Callithrix jacchus: one gene and its partners. The protein of the gene in region 6 interacts with the protein of the main gene of each other region in a pairwise test. Links are inferred from orthologs where the notes say so. Each region holds a gene or a part of one and is shown on either strand. Other genes may lie near its edges.

Region 1 (3,500 bases), on a different chromosome or scaffold from region 6:
AGAGGTTGCAGTGACCCAAGATCACACCACTGCACTGCAGCCTGAGTGACAGAGTAAGACTCTGAATCAATAAAAATAATAAAATACTGATTGTTGACAAGTGGTCTCATGTACATGTAGGAGAAATAATAAACCTCAATTTATATCAAAATTTTATTTTGTCCTTTTAAAACTCATATTTCCTATTTGTATTATGTGTTCTTAGGATAACCTATTGATCTTTGTGTATGCTTTGTAAACTGTAGGAGGTGTCTGCAATTATTTTTTGTTTTAGATCACAAAAACTCGATGGCTACTCTTTTAAGATTCAGAACCTGCTTTTATAGGCCAGGTACAGTGGCTTATACCTGCAGTCTCAGCTCTTTGGAAGGATATGGCAGGTGGATTGCTTGAGTTTAAGAGTTTGAGACCAGCCTGGTCAACATGAACATGGCGAAAACACATGTCTACAAAAAATACAAAACTTAGCCAGGTGTGGTGGTGCACACCTGTAGTCCCAAGCTACTTAGGAGGCTAAACTGGGAGGATGGCTTGAGCCCTGGAGGCAGAGGTTGCAGTGAGCCAAGATTGTTGCTACTGTATTTTAGCCCGGATAGCAGAGCCAGGACCCTGTCTCAAAAAAAAAAAAGAATCTGCTTGTAAAACTTAAACAGATATAGGAACATTTTATGGGAGTATTGCTGTTGTTTTAATATGACCAGTATTCTGGAGATACTCATTTAACTTCCCATGTCCTATTCTAGGAGTGTGTCTAGAGAATCTGAACTTCAGAGTCTCTTTTAAGGGGAAACCTGGTGTACCATGTGATTACTACCAATTCTGTTTGGATAATAAAAAGGTTGATCACCTTGAAGAAAAAAAAGCAAAAACTCTGATGTGGGGCCCAGTGACTCACTCCTGTAATCCCAGCACTTTGGGAGGGGAAGGCAGGAAGACCACTTGAGGCCAGGAGTTCAAGACCAGCCTGTCCAACATTGCAAAACCCTGTCTCTACTAAAAATACAAAAATTAGCCAGGCATGGTGGCATGTGCCTGTAGTCCCAGTTACTCAGGAGGCTCAGTCATGAGAATTGCTTGAACCCAGGAGGTGGAGGTTGCAATGAGCTGAGATGGTGCCACTGCACTCCAGCCTGGGCACCAGAACGAGACTGTATCTAAAAAAGAAAAAGAAAATCAAAATAACTCAGATATACAAGCCCTTAAGAAGTTTGCTTCATATAAAGTTCTTAAAAAGCCGCAAAGCCTGGGCAACATAGTAAACCCTATCTTTCTTTTTCTTTTAGACAGGATCTCATTCTGTCACCCAGGCTGGAGTACAGTTGTATGATCACAGCTCACTGCAGCCTCGACCCCCCTGCCCCCAGGCTCAGGTGATCCTCCCACTTCCACATGCACTGCCACACCCGGCTAATTTTTTTGTATTTGTTGAAGGCACAAGGTTTTGCTATATTGCCCAGGCTGGTCTTGAACCCCCAGGCTCAAGCAATCCACCTGCCTTGGCCTCCCAAAGTGGTAGGATTTATAGACGTAAGCCACTGTGCCCAGCCCCCATCTTTTTTTTTTTTTTTTTTTTTTTGAGACAGTGTCTCTTTGTTGCCCAGGCTGGAATGCAGTGGTGCCATCTCAGCTCATTGCCATTTCCACCTCCCAGGCTCAAGTAGTTCTCCTGCCTCAGCCTCCTGAGTAACTGGGACTACAGGCATGCTCCACCTCACCTGGCTAATTTTTGTATTATTAGTAGAGATGGGGTTTTACCATCTCTACTAATGGTAAGTTCAAGACTGGTCTTGAACTCCTGAGCGAAAGCAATCTGCCCACCTTGGCCTCCCAAAGTGCTGGGACTACAGGCGTGAGCCATGACACCTGGCCCTATCTCTTTAAGGAAAAAAATAAAGGCAACCAGAGGATATAACCCACCCAAACAAAGGAATATACCCAGAAAGAGGAAGATGTGACCTGGGGAAACAGGAGAATCTGAAACCAGGGAGAACATTAGCACTATGGTGGACTAGGGAACCAGTGGTTCACACTGGAGCAGGAGGCCAAAGGTTACTAAGAGGGATGTCTGTGGTATTGTTAGTTACCAGGTGTGCTTGTTACTATTGAGAAGAGGTATACCAGTCTGCAGGAAAGTTACAAGAAAAGCCGAGTAACTGAAGGTGGATAGAGAGCTACGCCATCAGAAACCCAAGGCAGTCATTAGGGGAAAACAAGACATGATAGAAGAAAAGACATAAAATCATGGCAACAAAAAATTACATTATGACAGTATTAGAAAGATGGAAAAGAAGGACGTTTCACAGTAGCAAGTCAATAGAAAATGTGTGAAATAAAGATTAAGAAATAACTTTTGAAATAGTCTGAAATACAGAGGTAAATTTTAGAAGCAACTGTAAAAAGTTGAAAGTGGATGTCTCTGGCTAACTGGGGGGCTTTGGGGTGTGGAGGGAATATGATTTTTATTAAAAGTCTTATATTTGACTTTTTATATGGTATATGTGTGTTACCTTGTTGAACATTAAATTTTCTTAGTCTGAAAAATGACAATTTATATTAATAACCAGATTCTAATAGCTCTTAATATACTAGTCTTAGCTACATAATTCTCATGTATCAACGTGTTTAACAGTCTTAAAATGCTCTTTTTAAATGTTTTTCAGTTGCCTTGTTGAAGGGGATGCTAAAGAAGAAATATTGCAGCCACCAGAACCTCATCCGGTGCCACCCATCTTGACACCTTCTCCCCCTTCAGCTTTCCCAACAGTCACTACTGTGTGGCAGGATAATGATAGATACCATCCAAAGCCAGTGTTGCATATGGTTTCATCAGAACAACATTCAGCAGACCTCAACAGGAACTATAATAAATCAACAGACCTTCCAGGGAAAAATGAATCAACAATCGAACAAATAGATAAAAAATTGGAACGAAATTTAAGTTTTGAGATTAAGAAGGTCCCTCTCCAAGAGGGACCAAAAAGTTTTGATGGGAACACTCTTTTGAATAGGGGGCATGCAATTAAAATTAAATCTGCTTCACCTTGTATAACTGATAAAATCTCTAAACAACAGGAATTAAGTTCAGATCTAAATGTCGATGATATTTCTCAGAATTCTTGTATGGACTGCAGTGCAACACAATCAAACAAAGTTCCAGTTACTCCACCAGAAGAATCACAGAATTCAGACACACCTCCAAGGCCAGATTGCTTGCCTCTTGATGAAAAAGGACATGCAACGTGGTCATTTCATGGACCTAAAAATGCCATACCCATACCTGATTTATCTGAAGGCAATTCCTCAGATATCTGCTATCAAACTATGAAAACTGTGAGTTTAACACCAAGTCCTACAACACGAGTTGAAACCCATGATCTTGTGGATCATAACACTTCACCTCTCTTCAGAACACCCCTCAGTTTTACTAATCCACTTCACTCTGATGACTCAGACTCAGATGAAAGAAACTCTGATGGTGCTGTGACCCAGAATAAAACTAA
Region 2 (3,500 bases), on a different chromosome or scaffold from region 6:
ACCACTTTAGCCAACAGATATCAAAAGCCTCAAAGTTTAAAAATGAAGTGCTTTGTTATAATAATTCTCTGAAGAATAAGTAATTATAGTAACTCAGTCACCTATCTTACAAAGCCAGAAATCTGCAAGTCATCCTAAAGTCTTCCTTTCTCTAACCTCTGATTAATCATTTACCATATTTAAATAGCTCTCAAAAACATTCCTCTACCACCATTATCCCTTGTCTAAGTATTAAGCTATTAACTAAACTGACTGGGCATAAAAATTATCATAATCAGACTTTGGGTCGATGTTTAGATATTTAACATCTGGTGATGTACTCTGCCCTTCCAGTACTAAGAGGCTGCAAAGACAGCAAGTCAATGCAAAATCAAAGTACTACTTCCAAAGAAAACTTTTCTCTTCACCATGTGATTGATTCTATTATCTGACCAACAGGAAGTGCCTCCAGTTATTCCAAAATGCCAACTTGTCCCATATCCTAGAGCAGTTGTCCCCAATATTGTTGGCACAAGGGACCAGTCTGGTGGAAGACAATTTTTCCATGGATGGAGTGGGGTGTTGGATGATGGTTTTGGATTAAACTGTTCCATCTCAGATCAGGCATTAGATTTTCATAAGGAGCACACTACCTAGATCCCTCACTTCTGTAGTTCACAGTAACGCCTGTACTCCTATGAGAATTTAACACCACTGTTGATCTGACAGGAGGCAAAGCTCAGGCAGTAATGCTGCTCACTTCCTGCCGTGTGGCCCGACTCCTAACAGGCCGTGGACCAGAACCAGTCTGAAGCATGGAGGTTGGGGGGACCCCCGGCCTAGAGGCCTGGTTAGATTTCTATTCCCTTTTCTGCTAGCATTTATGGATAAGAAACAAACAGAATAATTTTAGAAGCACAAATGCAGTAAAGCCCTAATCCCAATGAAGTGTAATGTTCATAATATCTTGCTTATATTACAAATAAGATATTGAAACAGCAAATCCGTCTACATACATATAATTGATTTATATGTTTTTACTTAGTCAGACATCACTGGCATTTAGCTATCTAAAAAAAAAAATTTTAAAGCAAGGCAATTACCTGAGGAGAGTCAAAAGGATATCGACTACTAAATTTAAATAGAAGTTGAAACTTTTCCCCTTCATATAAGGTACCTGGTGCACCTTCCATGTCTACAATCCACCTAGAATAGAGGAAAGGCAAATTAAAAACTTAAGATAATAGAGACTGGGGTAAGGAGGAGAAAAGAGAACACCAACTACTTCCTATATACTAAGCACTGGGACAAGAGTTGTTTATCCATAACAGCACATGCTAGCCTCACAATAACTCTGAGTGTTAATACTCATGACATATCCCTTTCTCTGACACTCAGGGGTTAAATAACCAGATCAAGGTGAGACAGCCAGCAAGACAGAGCCAGGTCTAAAAAAACAAAATAAAAACTCAAACTTAGGTGTGCCAACACCAAAGCCTGTGGTCTTCCTACTTGATTTATACTACCTCATTTTTCCAAAATATCATTTCTACAATGCTAATATTATGTATTTTATATATAATATCAAACTAATCAACTGCTTTTCTGATTATTACTGGTGGAAGCCATGGAGAAGTACGTATAGACAATGACTACAAAGAACTGTAGCTGTCAGACTTATTTTTCTCGTCAGCATTCTACAGAAGATTAACAAGGAAAGGGGAACTAAACTGACATCAGTCCACTTACTCTGAGAGTTAAGCAAAGCTTTGTAGTGCCTTTCCTTTATCTCATACTATGTTTCAATTGTTTAATAAAGCCCAGAATAGATTTCTATGGCATCTATGCAAGCCTACTTTATTTTCACATGTAACAATCATATATATAAATGTGTTTTTATTTTTAGTCTATATACTATTTCTTGCTATTTTAAGATGGGGGAAGAATAAGGGAAAATGACAAGCAAAGATAACGGGGCAGCAGCCAAGCACAGTGGCTCAAGTCTGTAATTCCAGGACTTTGGGAGGCTGAGGTGGATGGATCATGAGGTCAGGAGATCGAGACCATCCTGGCTAACATGAAACCCCATCTCTACTAAAAAAAAAACACAAAAATTAGCTGGGCATGGTAGTGTGCACCTGTATTCCCAGCTACTGAGGAGGCTGAGACAGGACAATCACTTGAACCCGGGAGGCGGGAGCCAAGATTATACCACTACACTCCAGCCTGGGCAACAGAGCAAGACTCCGTTTCAAAAAATAAAAAAAAAAAGGTAACAGGGCAGCATTCGAAGCAAAAGTGAACTGAAGTCATTAACAATGAGTTCCTATTTATAGCTCTGTCACTTACAATTATTGTACACCTAGCCAATTCTCTTGAACTTTTCAGGTATTAAAACTTTCTTGTATTTTAAAACACAAGAAAACAAAATGAAGACAGAAAACACAGTGCTGGGATTCTAGTCATCACCATGTATACCATGAACTTAGGAATATGTAAAATGATAAATACGCCTATTCTCTAAAAGAAATCAGCTACAGTATACAGACTCTTAAGAGCATAGCTATTCATTTTTAGAATGCATGCTGAGTACCATACATGGTAATGAAAGATATGACCACAGACCCGAGAGACAATATTTTATAGTGAAATTAGACAGTTATAACTTAAGTTATACTGAAGTGGCAATTATAGTTAATCTTAACTAGTTGTGTAAGGCCTCTCCAATTTTAACTACCTCAATAATAAAACAGAATATAATTACGTCATAGTGTTGCTGGATAAATAACCCTACATATGTAAAAACCCTAGCACATTCCTGACTCTGAGCCAATGCATGGTAAATTAAATACACGACAAAAGCTGCATACAGAACAAAAAACTATATCTCTCTCTCTCTTTTTTTTTTTTTTTTTTTTTGAGACAGAGTCTCACTCTATTGCCCAGTATGGAGTGCAATGGTGTGATCTGGACTCACTGCAACCTCTGCCTCCTGGGCTCAAGCAATACTCCTTCTTCAGCCTCCCAAGTAGCTGAGATTACAGGCGTGCACTACCACGCCCACCTAATTTTTCTATTTTTAGTAGAGACAGGATTTTGCCAGGTTCCTTAGGCTAGTCTCCAACTCCTGACCTCTTGATCTGCCTGCCTCGGCCTCCCAAAGTGCTGGGATTACAGGCATGAGCCACCATGCCAGGCCCAAAGAAACTCCCCCTTTATATATTAGGTCCTTCATAGTCTTTTAAATTCCTTTTTGATTTTTCCACCCACATCCACTAGGCAGAGTGATATTCCCAAGAAAAATGGTGGTCTTTCATTCTGTTTAAATGGTAATTTTAGGACACTCAACGTAAATTTACATATGACCTATACTAACAAGCACAGCTTTTAAATAAGAGCTAAGCAAGTATCTCATCAATCCTTGTAGTATCTGTATGACAGGTCAAAGACAGCATAACTTCCAAGAGTTTCAGGTACTTTATAATAACTTTTTTTTGAGACAGGGTCTTATTCTGTCACCT
Region 3 (3,500 bases), on a different chromosome or scaffold from region 6:
GAGTGCAATGGTGCAATCTTGGCTCACTGCCACCTCCACCTCCTGGGTTCAAGTGATTCTCCCGCCTCAGCCTCCCAAGTAGCTGGGATTACAGGTACCCACCACCACAACTGACTAATCTTTTTCTATTTTTAGGAGAGAGGGTTTCATCATGTTGGCCAGGTTGGTCTTGAACTCCTGACCTTCAGGTGATCCACCCACCTCAGCCTCTCAAAGTGTTGGATTACAGGCATGAGACACTACACCCAGGCAAAACATAATTTCTAAATAAGTGAATATATGAAGTTGTTTAAACGTTCATCTATTCTACCATTCCATGCTAGGTTCTCCTGATTTATATATCCCAGGACCTAGCAATGTTTGCCTAATGCAAAGTAGGTACCCAATGGATATTTATTCATTATTAAGCTTCAGTTTTCTCTTCTGAAAAGGGGATGCTTGACCCCTTCTCATTATAAAATTATTTTTTTAAAAAGGAAAGCAGACTACAAGGGATCTTTGAAATGTATGGGAATATTTATGGAAATGAGAGCTCCAACTAGCAGAAAGGCTGTCAATCATCACAAACTATGAAGTGGAGGCAGAGTAGAGGGGGTTGAGTGACAACTCTGTCAGAAAAGGGTGGGAACTAAAAATAGTTAAAAGGAGAGAAACAGTCATCTATGGTAGCTAACATTTTATATTTAGTTACCTTATTTTTCTCAGGCAATAGTATAAATACTACCATTGCTGAAAATGACCAATATTCAGATGTAAAAGATGCTTAATACTGTCACCTATGTGTGGCCCTAAACCATGAGTAATTTTGAGTCATGTAGATTGTTAACTATAATGAAAGAAAAGAAAAAGATTACAAATGAGTAAGAAGAAAAATTGCCTTAAAATCATTACTAGTCCTCACCATGCTTTTGGAGATTCTCCTTAAGTCCTGGCTTGGAAACACTAGCCACGGTGTTTTCAGTATCTTCTTCCAGAACAGGGGAGCTTACTGATGGAGCATGAACTCCATCTGGTTTCTGGACAGCAGCTGGACCATCAATACCTAGGGCCAAAATGAAATAAATTTTTAAAAAGGAGCAAAGTATTATTCACTATTTAGTTGGGTAGGTTTGGCATATGTGATCAGAATTAAAAACTACTAAATCATATTATGTCCCCTCCTTTCTTAACATCCATAAGAACTTTTCTTAAGACAGTAGGTCAGAACTGGTCTTCTTTTTTTCTGAGACAGGAACTTACTCTGTCACCCAGGCTGGAGAGCAGTGGTGTAATCACAGCTCACTGAAGCCTCGACTTCCTGGGCTCAAGCAATCCTCCCACTTCAGCCCCCTGAGTAGCTGGGACTACAGGTGTGTGCTACTACACCTGGCTAATTTTTAAATTCTCTGTAGAAATGGATTCTTGTTATGTTGCCCAGCTTAGTGTCAAACACCTGGCCTCAAGTGATCTGCCTGCTTCAGCCTCCCAAAGTGCTGGGATCACAGGCCTAAGCCACCATGCCCAGCCTGGTGTCCATTCCATTAACATGCTCTGTTACTAAGGTAATATGTACCTGAGGCTATACTTCAGAAACTTAAGAATAAGACCAAGAAAACAAAGTGGTACGATTTAAAGGCTCTTATAATCTTACTCTTCCTCTGCCTCCTCACCATCTCAGATGGTCCTCTGAACTATCTTGGAAGAATGAATGCTCTCTACCTATTCCTGGTTTCATGATTCACCTCTGCCATGATTTAACAATCAAAAGCTCCTCAAATAGGTCATTCTAAACTCATTCATCTGGCATCTAGAAAACAACATTTCTGGCTGGGCGCAGTGGCTCATGCCTTTAATCCCAGCACTTTGGGAAGCCAAGGTGGGTGGATCACCTGAGGTCAGGAGTTTGAGACCAGCCTGGCCAATATGGTGAAACCCAATCTCTACTAAAAATATTAAAAAAATAGCCAGGTGTGGTGACGGGCACCTGTAATCCCAGCTACTCAGGGGGCTGAAGTGGGAGGTTGAGGCAGGAGAATCACTTGAATCTGGGAGAAGGAGGCTGCAGTGGGCCAAGATCGTGCCATTGTATTCCACCAGGAGAAAAAAGCAAAACTCCGTCTCAGAAAAAAGAAAACAGTTCTAAAATGGACACAAACGTTAAGGCATCTTCCATTGATTACATCATTTATTTTATTCTCTTCAAAGACCCCAAATGTGATTATAAAAATTTAAGAAGGTACCCAGTAACGGTACTAATATTATCCCTTTGGTCTATCTGAGAATTCTCCTACCTTCTAGGTTTGTGAAAATTGTACCCCAGCAGGAAGTGATGCTGCCTAAATACACACCATGTAAGATGACATTGCTGTGGGGAATATGACAGTTCACCAAAGGAGTCTGCTCCTCATTAGTCCTTGGCTTCGCCCGACGTAGCCTGGCTTCCGGATTGGGCTGCACCATAAACGGCTCAAGGCGCTTTTTCCTTTGCCTCTTCTCAAGTAGTAGCCTCTGGGAAAAAAGTGATATAACAGAGAGCCAGGAAAGTTTTGACAAGACCTAGCCACTTCCAACATTTACAGTTTGTTTTTCACTGATCCTCATAAAACATCTTGTAAATTATTTTTTCCTTACTTAAGAAATGGGAAAACTGAGGCACAGAGAAGAGTAATGATTCAATTATTTCATTAAACAAATACTTTTGAACACCTAACACCTATAAAGATCTATTTAAAATAGTACAATGCATTTTTTTCTTTTTCTGGTTTTTTTTTTTTTTTTTTTTTTTTTTGGAAGACTCTCACTCTGTTGCCCAGGCTGGAGTTCAATGGCACCATCAGAGCTCACTGCAGCCTTGACCTCCAAGGCGTACCCGATCCTTCCACCTCAGCCTCCTGAATATGAACAGCTGGGACTACAGGTGCATGCTACCATGCCCAGCTAACTTTAGTATTTTTTGTGGAGGCCAGTTTCCCCATATTGCCCAGGCTGGTCTCAAACTCCTGAGGCTCAAGCAGTCTGACTGCCTTGGCCTCCCAAAGTATTGGAATTACAGGCATGAGCCACCACACCTACCCCACACAATGCATTTCTAACCAAGCTGAGGCCGTGATCCTAGTCTACTGAAGATGTATGTTAATCATCATAGCGTTATCCAAGCTCAAAACATATAAACACACATACATGGGGAAAGACAGAGGAACACAGCAAGGGTGATTTCTTGAGGTGGTAGACTAAGGCATGATCATTTTCTCTTTTCTAGTTTTTTTTTTTTTTCCAAAGTTTTCTTTTATAACTGGAAGAAAAAAATATTCTCTAAAACTCAAATTATTTCCATGTTTTAAGCAGTCAAAGAGCAGTAAATTTGGCATTCTTGTTTATCTTGCATAATTAGAAATCAAATTTGGGTCAAAGGTGAAGAGAAAAAATGGCAGTTGGAACATATCAAATAGAAAGCAGTCAACTCTATAAATAAAAGCAAGATAAAGGCTATGGTAGCAAGAAAAGTCAGGAAAAAAGCATGA
Region 4 (4,098 bases), on a different chromosome or scaffold from region 6:
AAAAAGTGCCAAGTGTGATGGGAGCGGCCCCATCACCTGGCTCAGGGAAGATCACAAGAAAATTCAGAAAAGAGAATTCCTTTCTCTGCGCTTTCTTGGAACACCTGGAGTCTGGTTCTCAGGTTTAGACCCATGAGGACTAAATCCAGTGGCTCCTAATTCCAGAAGCTTTCCAGGACTGCCCTCCCCGGCTGCTAACCCAGGTCACTCCTAGTCCTACCCTGACCACAGGGAACTGGAAGTGTGTATCCCATGAGGCCTTGTCCATTCTTTTTGTTTTCCCCTGAGACGGAGTTTCACTCTTGTTGCCCAGGCTGGAGTGCAGTGGCACAATCTAGGCTCACTGCAACCTCCACCTCCTGGGTTTAAGTGATTCTCCTACCTCAGTCTCCCAAGTAGCTGGGATTACAAGCATGTAATCCCACCACTCCAGGCTAATTTTGTATTTTTAGTAGAGACGGGGTGTCTCCATGTTGGCCGACCTCAGGTGATCCACCCACCTCGGCATCCCAAAGTGCTAGGATTACAGGCATGAGCCACTCCACCTGGCCCGCCTCGTCCATTCTTGGCCACTCCTCCAGGAAACGCCTGGATAGCCAGGACTTGGGGACTCTGGATGTTCAGAAGGTGGGGACGGGCTGAATGAATGAGTTCTAACTTTGCCCACGCACCGTTCTACACAGTGGGAATAATAGAGGGAAGAAAAATGAAGATCCTGCTTCCATAAAACTTGTCACAGGATGGACCCTTCCAACTCTGCCCTCGGGGACACAGCAGGAGGGGCCGGCTCCCTTCTCTGAATTGTTGCACTTGAAACCGCCTTCGCAACAACTGTACCTGAGGAAATTATGACAGCAAAAAGAGATCAGACCTAAGCAACTCCATCTTGCTTGTAACCTTTAAGCTGTCCTTGCTCTTTCCTGGGCATAGGCCGAACTAACCTTGGGAAGAAATTCAGTCTATAGTTTGACTCTGAGACAAGATTGGTAATAGCTTTTTCCAGAAAACACCCTCTTCTTACCTGGGGACCAGTCAGCCTTTGGAGGACTGACAAGCTGCAAGATTAGAAATTATCGTTTAGGGGTCACGAAGCCTCTGGCTCAAGAGTCTGAACCTCCCCAAATTGCTCCTGGGGATAACATCACTATTATAAAAATCTAAGATCAGTGCTTGAGATATTTTTGCAGACCCTGTACTAGGTGGATCCGCTGACACCACCCAGACGAGTAATGTGGCTCAACCAGTCCCGCAATCCCACCCACGGACAGAATCCCACCCAGGAACAGAAGACAGCAAGAAAATCTCACTTCGACCTCCTCAGGACTCCATCTCCAACCTCAGGAAGCTCCAGCCAATCAGCACCCCCCACTTCCTGAGCCCCTACCGACCAAATCATCTTAAAAACTCGGATCCCCTAGGCTGGGTACAGTGGCTCACCCTGTAATCCCAGAACTTTCAGGAGGCTGAGGTGGGTGGATCACCTGAGTTCAGGAGTTCCAGACCAGCCTGGCCAACATGGTGAAACCCTGTCTCTACTAAAAATACAAAAAAATTGGTCGGACATGGTGTGGTTGACGCCTGTAATCCCAGCTACTCAGGAGGCTGAGGCAGGAGAAAAGCTTGAACTCGGGAGGCAGAGGTTGCAGTGAGCCAAGATTGTGCCACTGCACTCCAGCCTGGGCAACAAGAGTGAAACTCCAGTCTCCTGCAGAGCTGGCTCTGTGTGAATTGCTTTCTCCATTGCAATTCCCCTGTCTTGATAAATCGGCTCTGTCTAGGAAGCAGGCTAAGTGAACCCACTGGGTGGTTACACACTGACCCCAGGATTTAGGGAGCATCTCTTACTAATCCTCAGCTCTGATGCAGCCACCCCTGTGGGTCCCTCCTGGTTACTAAATCTCCCACTGTCTCACAGAGTCTGGAAGTCACATCCCCAACAAAGGCCTAGATTTCTCTCCCTGAAAAAAGAAGCGCCAGATGCTGATGGGCCAGGAAATTCCCAGCTCCGACTTCGTTTTCCGATCTGCACATTGAGGACACGGGCACTTTCTGGCCCAGATCCAGAACTTCCATAATCACAAACATCTGGCCCTGCAGAGACCTGGGCCTCAGTTTTTCCTTCTGTGTATTGGGAGGATGCACTTTATCCACTCCTGCTCAAAATGCCCCCTTCCCCTGGAATGACATGCTATGTGACCCAAGGAGAAAGACCACACCCCAGCACCAGGCCCGATTTTCAGACAGAAAACAACAGGCCTAGGACGCTGTGCTGCGAGCATTTTATGCATCTTGCAAGCTCTGAAATTCCTAAAGCTAAGTTTCACAACTCAGACTGGCCCCCTACTTCCCAGCACTCTAATTTTCAATCTGGGAGGTCTGACCGGGCCCGAAGCGTTCGGGGCCCCTTCCCTGCCCAAAAACTTGCATTTGGCGGGCCCCCACCTTTTTTGACCTCAGTTTCCCCACCTGAGGGGAAAAAATGGGAAAAACTAAGTAAAGCGAGCCCGCTGTACTACGGATACAAGCCCGTGCAACCCTAAATCTCAGACACAGACGTCCTAGAGCCATCTGCAGTCTCCAGCCTCAGTTTCCCAGCCTCGTGCCGGGAGACGGAACGCGAGGCTCTGACTCTACGTTCACCCCGCGCCAACCCAACCGTCAGCGCCCGCCCGGAGGGCTCCCAACGCCTGCGGCTCCCGCCTCCCGATGAGACCCCGCCGTTGCCCTGCCCTCACCATGGTGCCGGCGGGGACCGGGCTCGCCGGCCACTTCCGCCACCGCCGCTGCACACGCTCCCGGCGGTCGTCGCAGCGCCGCGCGCCACTAGGCTGAAAGAAAGTGGCAGACACGCGAGCCAGTCAGCACTGGGCTCGAAGGGCGGCCAACCAATCCACGCGGAACACGGCGGGGCCCTCTGGGCGAAAGGGGCGGGCGGGCCGCGTTCCCGCCGGAGGAACGAGGAATAGAGCCGTAAAGTGTCGCGACTTGTAATGCAAAAGGGGGCGGAGCAACGCGCCCAGGCGCGGGGTGTTTTGTGGGTAAGCGCATGCGCAGGTGAAGCCGTCGGTCTCGGGCTCCACGCTGTGGGCAAAGCCAGTTAATGCCTTTCGTTTGCAGTCTTAGAGACAGCGAGGTCTCGTGGTGATTGGGACGTCCCTCAGGTCGCCCTTCGGACTCCTAGTTTTCTAATTCTGTAATTATCCAGGAACATCATTTAGTGGGTTGGAATCCTGACCACGCCCCTCGGAGCCTCAGTTTGCTGTAAAATGGGTTATAATAGTAGTGTCTGCTCCAAAAGGTTGCTTGCTGTGAGGATGAAATGAGTGAAACTATGTAAAAAGCACTTAAAACAGCGCCTGGCGATCGGGCGCGATGGCTCACGCCTGTAATCCCAGCACTTTGGGAGACCGAGGCGGGTGGATCACGAGGTCAAGAGATCGAGACCATCCTGGTCAACAAGGTGAAACCCCGTCTCTACTGAAAATACAAAAAAAATTAGCTGGGCATGGTGGCGCGTGCCTGTAATCTCAACTACTTGGGAGGCTGAGGCAGGAGAATTGCCTGAACCCAGGAGACGGAGGTTGCCGTGAGCCGAGATCGGCCATTGCACTCCAGCCTGGGTAACAAGAGCGAAACTCCGTCTCAAAAAAAACAAAAAACAAAAAAATAAAATTAGCCGGCAGTGGTGTAATCCCAGAATCGCTTGAACCCAGGAGGCAAAGGATCACGCCATTGTACTCCAGCCTGAACCCAGGAGGCAAAGGATCACGCCATTGTACTCCAGCCTGAGCAACTAGCGAAACTCTGTCTCAAAACAAACAAAAACAGGTCTGGCGCATATTAAGTACTTAACAATATACTTTGTGCCTGCTTCTGCTCACAGAAATGAACAAAACACAAAATTCGTGGCTCTCAGGGAGACAGTAAACAAAGTAAATAGGCAAATGCTGTTGTTTCCTGGGGCTGTAACAAACGCCTGCAAACTGAGAGGTTTAAAACAACAGAACGTGATTTTCTCACAGTTCAGGAGACCAGATTCTGAACTGAGGCTGTCAGTGGAGCTGGCTCGCTCCGGAGGCTCTGTGTGTCCTGTGCCTC
Region 5 (4,226 bases), on a different chromosome or scaffold from region 6:
GACTCAGAGCAGACAGGGAATTTTCCCAAGGCCATGGTGACCTTAAGTCTGGTAATGGTGACCAGCTACAAGCTGAATCAAGACATCGCATGACACTGGCGTGCACACGCACAACGGGAAATCGCCGTCTTTCAGCTAAAGGGTGAAGGGTTTCTTTTTGAAGCAATGAACATGTCCATTTTGGTGATGACTGCAAGACTCTGAGTATACTAAAGGCCTTTTAGTACATGGACAAACTGGACAGTATGTGGATTATCTCAATGAAGCCGTTCGGATAAAAAGAAAAGGTCACCGTCCTTGCCAAGAAGCCCTCTGAGTTTGAATCCTGACTTTGCCCCTGTCAAGCAATGAGACCTTGGACAAGCTGCTTCTCACTAGGTCTCTGTTTTCTTATCCATAACGAGAAGATCATAACAAGTACGTCTCAGTATTGTTGGGAGCTTCAAATAAGACCATGTAAGCAAGCACCTGACCCCTAGCTGGTAGCCGTTATTTCCACCGCAGTGCTAGGGGACCCAAATGTGAAAGCACCAGCAGGGTCCCCCTGTAGGGCTCACACTCCAAACAGGACACACAACTTGTGCTGTTTGGAGTCCTGAGATCTATGGTTTCCAGAGAATCAGAGGCCCCTTTCAGCGCCATGCTCAAGCACACTACATTTCTACAAGGTGCTCTCCATTCAAGGTTGCAGGACTAGGGTGTGGAAAGTTGTGACTGCAGCAGGGCTGACAGTGTCTATCTGGGATTGTTGGAGTGGGTCATCTGACAATATCTGGGATTGCTGGAGTGGGTCATCTGACAATATCTGGGATTGCTGGTAGGCCCAGGAGCTGAAGATGGGGCTGGAGAGAGAGAGAGGAAGGAGGAGGGGCCCTGCTTCTGGAAACATTTTCTGTGTGAGACAGAGAAATGCTTCTTTGCTCACCGACTGGCTGGCCTATGCTCATGCTGGGGTTCATGTCTTTCTCCCCCAGCCAAGGGCAGCTTCCTCTTTTCCTCTCTTATCACTCCCTGCCCAGCGTCTGTGGGTTTTCAACTTCGGTCATTGTACAAGTTGATAAAATATTTTTAAAAGTTTAAATCAGATTAAAAATTACCCCCAATGCCACTACTCATAGTCAACAATGACTAATATTTTGATGTATATCTTTGTCAGATATTTTCTACTTATATGTACATATATAAATAATATAATATTTCAGCGGGTTCAGGTGGCTCATGCCTGTAATCTCAGCGCTTTGGGAGGCTGAGGTAGGCTGATCACTTGAGGCCAAGGGTTCGAGACTAGCCTGGCCAACATGGTGAAGCCCGTCTCTATTAAACATGCGAAAATGATCACTGCCTGCTCAGCGTCCCCTGGGCTTTCAAGCTGAGTGGCATTTCGATTCCACTTTCTCTTCCTTCTCTCCCTTGCCCAAGCCACCTGTCCATCCTTTCTCTAAGCCTGACCCTTTTTATCTACATTCTTCCTATGGACCGGCGCCCTTTGGTCTAGGCCAGTGGTGATTAACTTTGGCTGCTGCTCATTAGAATCCCCCAGGGAGCTTTAGAACTTATTGAAACCAAAAAAATTTTTGGCCCTAAGCCAAAAAATTCAGATTTAATTGGTCTTCACTCCACTCGGATTCCAGCAGCAGCTTTCTGGCTAGTCTCCCTAACCCCATCCTCAATACCCACTCCTGCCCGCCCAGTACACGCAGCGACATACCAAGCCACACCTTGTGCGTCTTCTACACATAGCAGCAAAAAACACCTACCACCTTGGATCACTCTGACAAGCAGATCCAAAACAAGGGCTGTTGATCCTTAAATATGTTGTTTCCAGCCTTTTTCTGCCATGTAACTCCTCCTTCAGGGCACCCTGGCTTGAAACGAGCTCTCTTGATGAAAGGCCCGCTGCTCTCCCGTCAGCCTCTTCTCCCCACCCCGTCGTCAGCCACTAGAACAGTTGCCTTTTCCCTCTGTTCACCTGTCCCCCTCCTGATTAATGCCACGTTAATCCAGGTTCTTCACCCAGCCCCACCTTCCTGTAACCACCTGAAGAGAGGGTTGTAGGCAGGTAGCCTTGAGCGTCTATCAGGTGTGTGGATCCCGTTCCCACACTGGACCGTGGTGGCAGGACACGTGCGTCTGATTTCCTGTACAGCCCCCCTGGAGGCAGAGGTCAGCGCTGGGGAATAGTATAAGTGCTATTTTCCAACTTGCCAAATAGCACTCATACTGAAATAAAGCAATCTGAGGAATGAACACTTACCTAGAATCTTCAAATCAAACGTTTTTTCCAACACACTTTTTCCTTCTGCATCGTATATCGATACCGTGTAGGTATTCTGATCATCCATCTTCAGATGCTTGATTTTCAGAGTCCCACTTTCTAATAGCTTATACGCATCTTTTTCCTCAAAAGTCGACTTCCCTTTTCTGAATTGTGCAATCTTCTTCTTGTCTGAACCTTTTTCCCATTTTATATCGTCAATATCCGCACTCATTTGAAAATCAGGAATGTCCAAGTGGATGTCTTGACCCAAAGCACCCCAGACTTCCAAGGCATTCCTAACATCTTTGGAGAGTAAACCTGTAAAAAGCAAAAGAATTACTGAGACTCACTTCCAGAAAAAGCTACGTTGGGACTTCTTTGACTCTTAAGCTTACTTCAGGATCTCTGAAGAAGTTCTAACAGTGACGATGGAGATCCACGCACCAACTTACCTTTGGAAGAAACGTTGAAAATCAGAAGGAAGCTGGCTACAATTTTACATGGAAGGCTCATCTTAGGAGCTAGTTCCCTCTTTGGATTCTGAGCTCTTCATGCAAAAGGAACTAAAGTGAGACTGGTGAAGTCCGCACCCCGACAACTTAACCACGTGCCTCTCTTTACACGTTTTACAGTAACATAAAACATGTACACATACACAGAGAGAGAGAGAGCCACAAGCCAGCCCTTCTGATGTGCTCCTTTGCCTAAGCAGATGTGTTTATGAGTGTGTGTTTTCTTACCACATTTTGATCTCCACACAAAAAATTGGGAAGGAAGAGTTTTCTCATCCCAATGAAAGAGAAAAGGAGCAGAGAGACTATGTAGATCATTCGGGATCACTCTTTTGGAAGCAAGAGGCCAAATTCAGCCACACAGTCTTTTATCCACTTAGGTCTACGGACTCTAAAACACCACATAGAAATATAGGTAAATGTTCAAAGCCAGTAGCAGAAGGCAAATATTTATCCTAGATGATTATAAATACTGAAAAATGTATACCCATAGAATGATTAGAAATTGATTTTTTTCTGTTTCTCCAAAGATATTTTTCATGTTCTAAAATCATTTTTGTGATTAAAAAAAAAAAGGAAATTGAGCATCAGCTGTAAATGCTTGCAATCCCCAAATCCTATACGTTGGCATACGTTGGCATACGTTTTACAACTGTGGTGAAATTGACAGGTAAATAAAAACTTGTTCCAAAACAAAGAAGCGTAAACACTATGAAATATAATTAATCCACCAGAACAAACGAGTCAAAAGCATTTAAAGCGATTAGCATGATAGACGGTTAAGAAAAAAGAGAGATTAGGAGAAAAAAGGGAAGTGAGAGGGAACAGGGACAGGAACAGAGAGGAGAAATGTGTCAAACAAGGAAAGAGACAGTGGCGCAGAGATCGATGTGGCCTGAGAAGACGTCTAGGGAGAGCAAGTCACGGAAAAGAGGTGTAACTTGACCGACTTCCAAAGCACAGTTTCAGCTGCAATTCTTTAGCTCACAGTGAGTAACAATTGTAAAAGTGGTGCTTGTTTTCCTTTTCAACTCTAAGTACAAATGGATATTATCTGTTAGAAAGTTGCCGAGGAAAGCAGTTGTTTGCTATTACTGGGTAAAAGGAAGCCCAAATATTTATCTCATGGTTGTGTGAGCATCATCCACAATAATGCATTACAGTTGGATTACAATTTTAAATGCAAAAATATTATAATAATGCTAAATGGTGGCTGGGAGCGGTGTCTGAAATCTCAACACTTTAGGAGGCCGAGGCGGGAGGATCACCTGAGGTCAGGAGTTCAAGATCAGCCTGGCCAACATGGCGAAACCCCATCTCTACTAAAAATACAAAAATTAGCTGGGTGTGGTGGTGGGCACCTGTAATCCCAGCTACTCAGGAGGCTGAGGCAGGAGAATTGCTTGAACCCAGGAGGCAGAGGTTGCAGTGAGCCGAGATCGTGCCATTGCATTCCA
Region 6 (3,500 bases):
GACTGAGGGGGCGCATGGCTTGGGCTGAGCTTCCAGGACTTGGGAGGTAGACATATGTGTCCCATCGTGAGAGGGAAACTGAGGCACAGAGATGGGAAGTGGCTGGGCCAGGACACCCAGGCCCAGCCAGGCCCCAGCCTCAGGTACAGCTTTTTCCCCTTCCAGGCTCAGCTGTGACTTTCCATTTTCAGTTTTACAATGATCCTTCGTCTCTAAGCAAGCAGTGGGTCTGTGTGCTGCCCTCCCACCCTATGCCGGGCACCACCCTCATCACTAAGGCCTTGAGAGGCCAAGCCCCCATCCCCACAGGCCCAAGCCCAGCCTCCAGGCTAGCCTGCATCCTGCCGGCCCTCCAAAGAGCCCATCCCCAACCCCAGCCCTGCAGCCTCCCTGACAAGGATCTGCCAGCCTCTGCTTACACACCTCCCATGATGAGGACCTCACTTCCATGCAGCCACTCTGTCTCAGGATAGCCATGCCCTACGTATGGGTGAGAAGTAGCTTCGGATGCTAAGCAATGCCACACAACTCCCCCATCCCAGTCTGTGTCTGACTCCTCCGCCTTGGGCAGTCCTGCAGGGTGACTGGCTGCACGTGTCTGACTGCTCCGCCTTGGGCAGTCCTGCAGTGTGACTGGCTGCACGTGTCTGACTGCTCCGCCTTGGGCAGTCCTGCAGGGTGACTGGCTGCACGTGTCTGACTGCTCCGCCTTGGGCAGTCCTGCAGGGTGACTGGCTGCAAGTCCGCCTTTCTCCGGGACAATCAGCCCTGCTCCTTAGACTCAAGCCAGTTTCCAGTGATCTCCCCACAACTCAGACTGCCTTGTCTGGACACCCTCAAGTTGCCACAGACTCTCCATAGTCTGCAGTAGTAGGATCTTCCTAGGCGTGAGGCAGCTTGACCAGAAGGACCCTCCATGGGGCCCTGGGACTGGGAGCTGGCCTTGGTGCCAGCAGCCAGGCCTCTGCCCTCCCCACCCACTTCAGATCACCCTCAAGCCCCAAAGCCTGGGATACTGTCCCACCACCACCCCCCTGCCACCCTCCACTGGCTCTGCGGGGAGGGTCAGCCCCCCCACCCACAGAGCAAGTGAAAGGCTGGTGATGGGGGAATTGCTCCCCTGCCCCCTGCACCTGCCTCACCTTCTTCCTCTGCTCCTTCTGCCTCTCCCGGAACTCCTCGAGACTCCGCAGCTCCTCGCGCAGGGTCAGGGCCAGCTGGATGTGTGAGCTGCCCACATTCTCCATTTCTGGGGGCAGAGCATGGACACTGGTTCCCAGTGTCAGACCTGATGGGCCTCAGCCAGCCACAACTCACCCCTCTGGCCCAGCACAGCCTCAGCCCAACACCTCATTTTCTGTTCCTCCAAACCCTCCACCAGCCTCAACGTCCCTAAAGATCCCATCGCCCCAGGGTAGGGTACTTACGCTGCTTCAAGGAGTCAAAGGAGGCCCTCAGGGAGCTGCAAAACAGACAGGTCCAGGTCAGGAGGAGGAGAGCACAGTGGGAACCTGAAGTCCAGGCTGGCCCAGGGGGACTTTTATTTTGGTGGGAAGACCCTGGGTCACCCTAGAACCAAGGGACCCTTTAGCCAGATGGTGACCATCCACTGGGGCCCCAAACTGTGATTTCTGGAAGGCAAAGCTCTCTGCAAATTAAACAATCAAACTCCCTCCATGTGGTAGAAGAAGGAGGTACCAATGCCCATGCTCCCACCATCTGTGCTCCTGGCTGCATTCTTAGAGAAGAAGGGACTGTCTTTAGGACCCTCCTCCTTCCCCTGAACCCACAGTCACAGCCCTCTCTCCTCTGCAGGTACTGAATGGCCCCACGGTGAGGCTGCAGGGGAGAGGACAGTGTTCAGATGGGCTCTCAGCAGGTGGCCCAGGGGATGTTTGGAGGGGCTGGATGGCCATGGGAGAGGTTAGCAGGGCAGGGCACCGGAGGTGAGAGGTGGGCACTGTCTGCCAGGGAGGGAGGGAGGGAGGGAAGGCCCAGCACAGGGCATGGGAGGAAATGATGGGCAGGGGGGGAGGGCTGTGGAATGAGCACAGAAAACACAGGACACCAGTGCAATGCGAATCTCAGATGAACGAGAACTTTTCGAGTTTAGTATGCCCCTTGTCGTATTTAAATCGTATTTTTATTTTTTAATTTTTTTGAAATGGAGTCTCAGTCTGTCACCAGGCTGGAGTGCAGTGGCACCATCTCAGCTCACTGCAACCCCTGCCTCGAGGGTACCAGCAATTCTCCTGCCTCAGCCTCCCTAGTAGCTGAGACTACAGGTGCCCGCCACCACATCCAGCTAATTTTTGTATTTTTAGTAGAGACGGGGTTTCACCATATTGGCCAGGATGGTTTCAATCTCCTGACCTCGTGATCCACCTGCCTCAGTCTCCCAAAGTGCTGGGATTACAGGTGTGAGCCACTGCACCCGGCCTAAAACCTACTTTTTTTTTCCTCTTGTAACTGCCATTTATCATATATATTGTATATATAGATCAAATACATTTTGTACATTTACATTTTATGGTTTCTTTTTAAAAATTATTTATTTATTTATTTTATTTATTTATTTTACTTTAGGTGCCTACTATATCTGGCATTTCTCCCATGTTATCCCTTCCCACTCCCCATTGTCTGTATAGCCAAGACAATCCTAAGCAAAAAGAACAAAGCCGGAGGCATCACACTGCCAGACCTACTTTTGTTTTTAAAGAATTCGTTGTTTATCTGAATTCACATTCACCTGGGCATCCAGTATTTTATCTGGCTCTCCCCGTAGCTTCTCTGTGGAGCAGCTCGCCCGCCCCCTGGCGGCCATATGGCCTCATGACTCCCACCAGACAGCCCTGGGTGGCGAGGGCAGCGCACCAGGCAGGCTTCTCAGGGAGCTTCTCCTCTCGATAGACACCTGGGGAAGCGGAGGCCAAGGAGGAGCAGCAACCTGGCAGGAGCCCTGGGGGTCCAGGCCTGGGGGGAGATCTGTGGGGGCCAGGTCCCTCGCCCTAAACTCGTGGATCCCAAAGTGAGGTCCACAGGCCAGCAGCAGCAGCATCCGCGGAGCCTCTTAGAAATACAGATTCTCAGGCTTCTCCCTGTCCTTCTGAGGCTGAGGCTTCGGGGTGGGGGCCGGCCCCAAGCGCTGCGATGCCCATCCAGACGTGAGACCTGCTGGCCTGAGAGACGAGACCTCACAACTCTGCCAGCCCTTTATTATCCCATTTCACAGATGAGAAGCCAAGGGTAAGAGGGATGAATGCGCTGCACTCGTGGCCGCCCTGCGGAAGGAAGCGGAACCCAGGGAGAGGAAGGAGAGGGGGTGGCTGAGTGGTGACCCCACCTTCCCTTGTGGGGCTCAGGACTCTGACTCCTCACCAGCCGTGACACCTGCAATCCCTCTGCTTCCTGTCAGTGCACCCCTCGGCTCAGTGTCTCCCATTCACAGAAGCCTCCAGGAGCAGTGCGGTCCCCTGTGCCCCCACCCAGCCCTCACGCAT

What was found.
Region 1: the proteins of PSTPIP1 (region 6) and PTPN12 interact in binary tests that used the Homo sapiens proteins (3 or more experiments, as listed by UniProt). The link is inferred for Callithrix jacchus from reciprocal best matches to the Homo sapiens genes PSTPIP1 and PTPN12.
Region 2: the proteins of PSTPIP1 (region 6) and UBE2W interact in binary tests that used the Homo sapiens proteins (3 or more experiments, as listed by UniProt). The two-hybrid records come from large-scale screens. The link is inferred for Callithrix jacchus from reciprocal best matches to the Homo sapiens genes PSTPIP1 and UBE2W.
Region 3: the proteins of PSTPIP1 (region 6) and TULP3 interact in binary tests that used the Homo sapiens proteins (3 or more experiments, as listed by UniProt). The two-hybrid records come from large-scale screens. The link is inferred for Callithrix jacchus from reciprocal best matches to the Homo sapiens genes PSTPIP1 and TULP3.
Region 4: the proteins of PSTPIP1 (region 6) and LSM4 interact in binary tests that used the Homo sapiens proteins (3 or more experiments, as listed by UniProt). The two-hybrid records come from large-scale screens. The link is inferred for Callithrix jacchus from reciprocal best matches to the Homo sapiens genes PSTPIP1 and LSM4.
Region 5: the proteins of PSTPIP1 (region 6) and CD2 interact in a two-hybrid assay, tested with the Homo sapiens proteins (2 studies listed by BioGRID and IntAct). The link is inferred for Callithrix jacchus from reciprocal best matches to the Homo sapiens genes PSTPIP1 and CD2.

The regions. Positions count from the first base shown.
Region 1 is NC_133512.1:72,500,724-72,504,223, reverse strand, and holds part of PTPN12 (tyrosine-protein phosphatase non-receptor type 12), read left to right. Parts: intron 1-2,660; coding exon 2,661-3,500. UniProt on the Homo sapiens protein: Dephosphorylates a range of proteins, and thereby regulates cellular signaling cascades. Dephosphorylates cellular tyrosine kinases, such as ERBB2 and PTK2B/PYK2, and thereby regulates signaling via ERBB2 and PTK2B/PYK2.
Region 2 is NC_133517.1:29,516,969-29,520,468, forward strand, and holds part of UBE2W (ubiquitin-conjugating enzyme E2 W), read right to left. Parts: intron 1,186-3,500; coding exon 1,083-1,185; intron 1-1,082. UniProt on the Homo sapiens protein: Accepts ubiquitin from the E1 complex and catalyzes its covalent attachment to other proteins.
Region 3 is NC_133510.1:16,244,966-16,248,465, reverse strand, and holds part of TULP3 (tubby-related protein 3), read right to left. Parts: intron 2,488-3,500; coding exon 2,328-2,487; intron 1,043-2,327; coding exon 902-1,042; intron 1-901. UniProt on the Homo sapiens protein: Negative regulator of the Shh signaling transduction pathway: recruited to primary cilia via association with the IFT complex A (IFT-A) and is required for recruitment of G protein-coupled receptor GPR161 to cilia, a promoter of PKA-dependent basal repression machinery in Shh signaling.
Region 4 is NC_133523.1:17,038,834-17,042,931, forward strand, and holds the start of LSM4 (U6 snRNA-associated Sm-like protein LSm4), read right to left. Parts: upstream 2,801-4,098; 5' UTR 2,739-2,800; coding exon 2,736-2,738; intron 1-2,735. UniProt on the Homo sapiens protein: Plays a role in pre-mRNA splicing as component of the U4/U6-U5 tri-snRNP complex that is involved in spliceosome assembly, and as component of the precatalytic spliceosome (spliceosome B complex).
Region 5 is NC_133508.1:154,764,676-154,768,901, reverse strand, and holds the start of CD2 (T-cell surface antigen CD2 precursor), read right to left. Parts: upstream 2,801-4,226; 5' UTR 2,771-2,800; coding exon 2,710-2,770; intron 2,576-2,709; coding exon 2,255-2,575; intron 1-2,254. UniProt on the Homo sapiens protein: CD2 interacts with lymphocyte function-associated antigen CD58 (LFA-3) and CD48/BCM1 to mediate adhesion between T-cells and other cell types. CD2 is implicated in the triggering of T-cells, the cytoplasmic domain is implicated in the signaling function.
Region 6 is NC_133509.1:23,975,952-23,979,451, forward strand, and holds part of PSTPIP1 (proline-serine-threonine phosphatase-interacting protein 1), read right to left. Parts: intron 1,463-3,500; coding exon 1,428-1,462; intron 1,250-1,427; coding exon 1,143-1,249; intron 587-1,142; exon of another isoform or gene 478-586; coding exon of another isoform or gene 424-477; intron 1-423. UniProt on the Homo sapiens protein: Involved in regulation of the actin cytoskeleton. May regulate WAS actin-bundling activity. Bridges the interaction between ABL1 and PTPN18 leading to ABL1 dephosphorylation.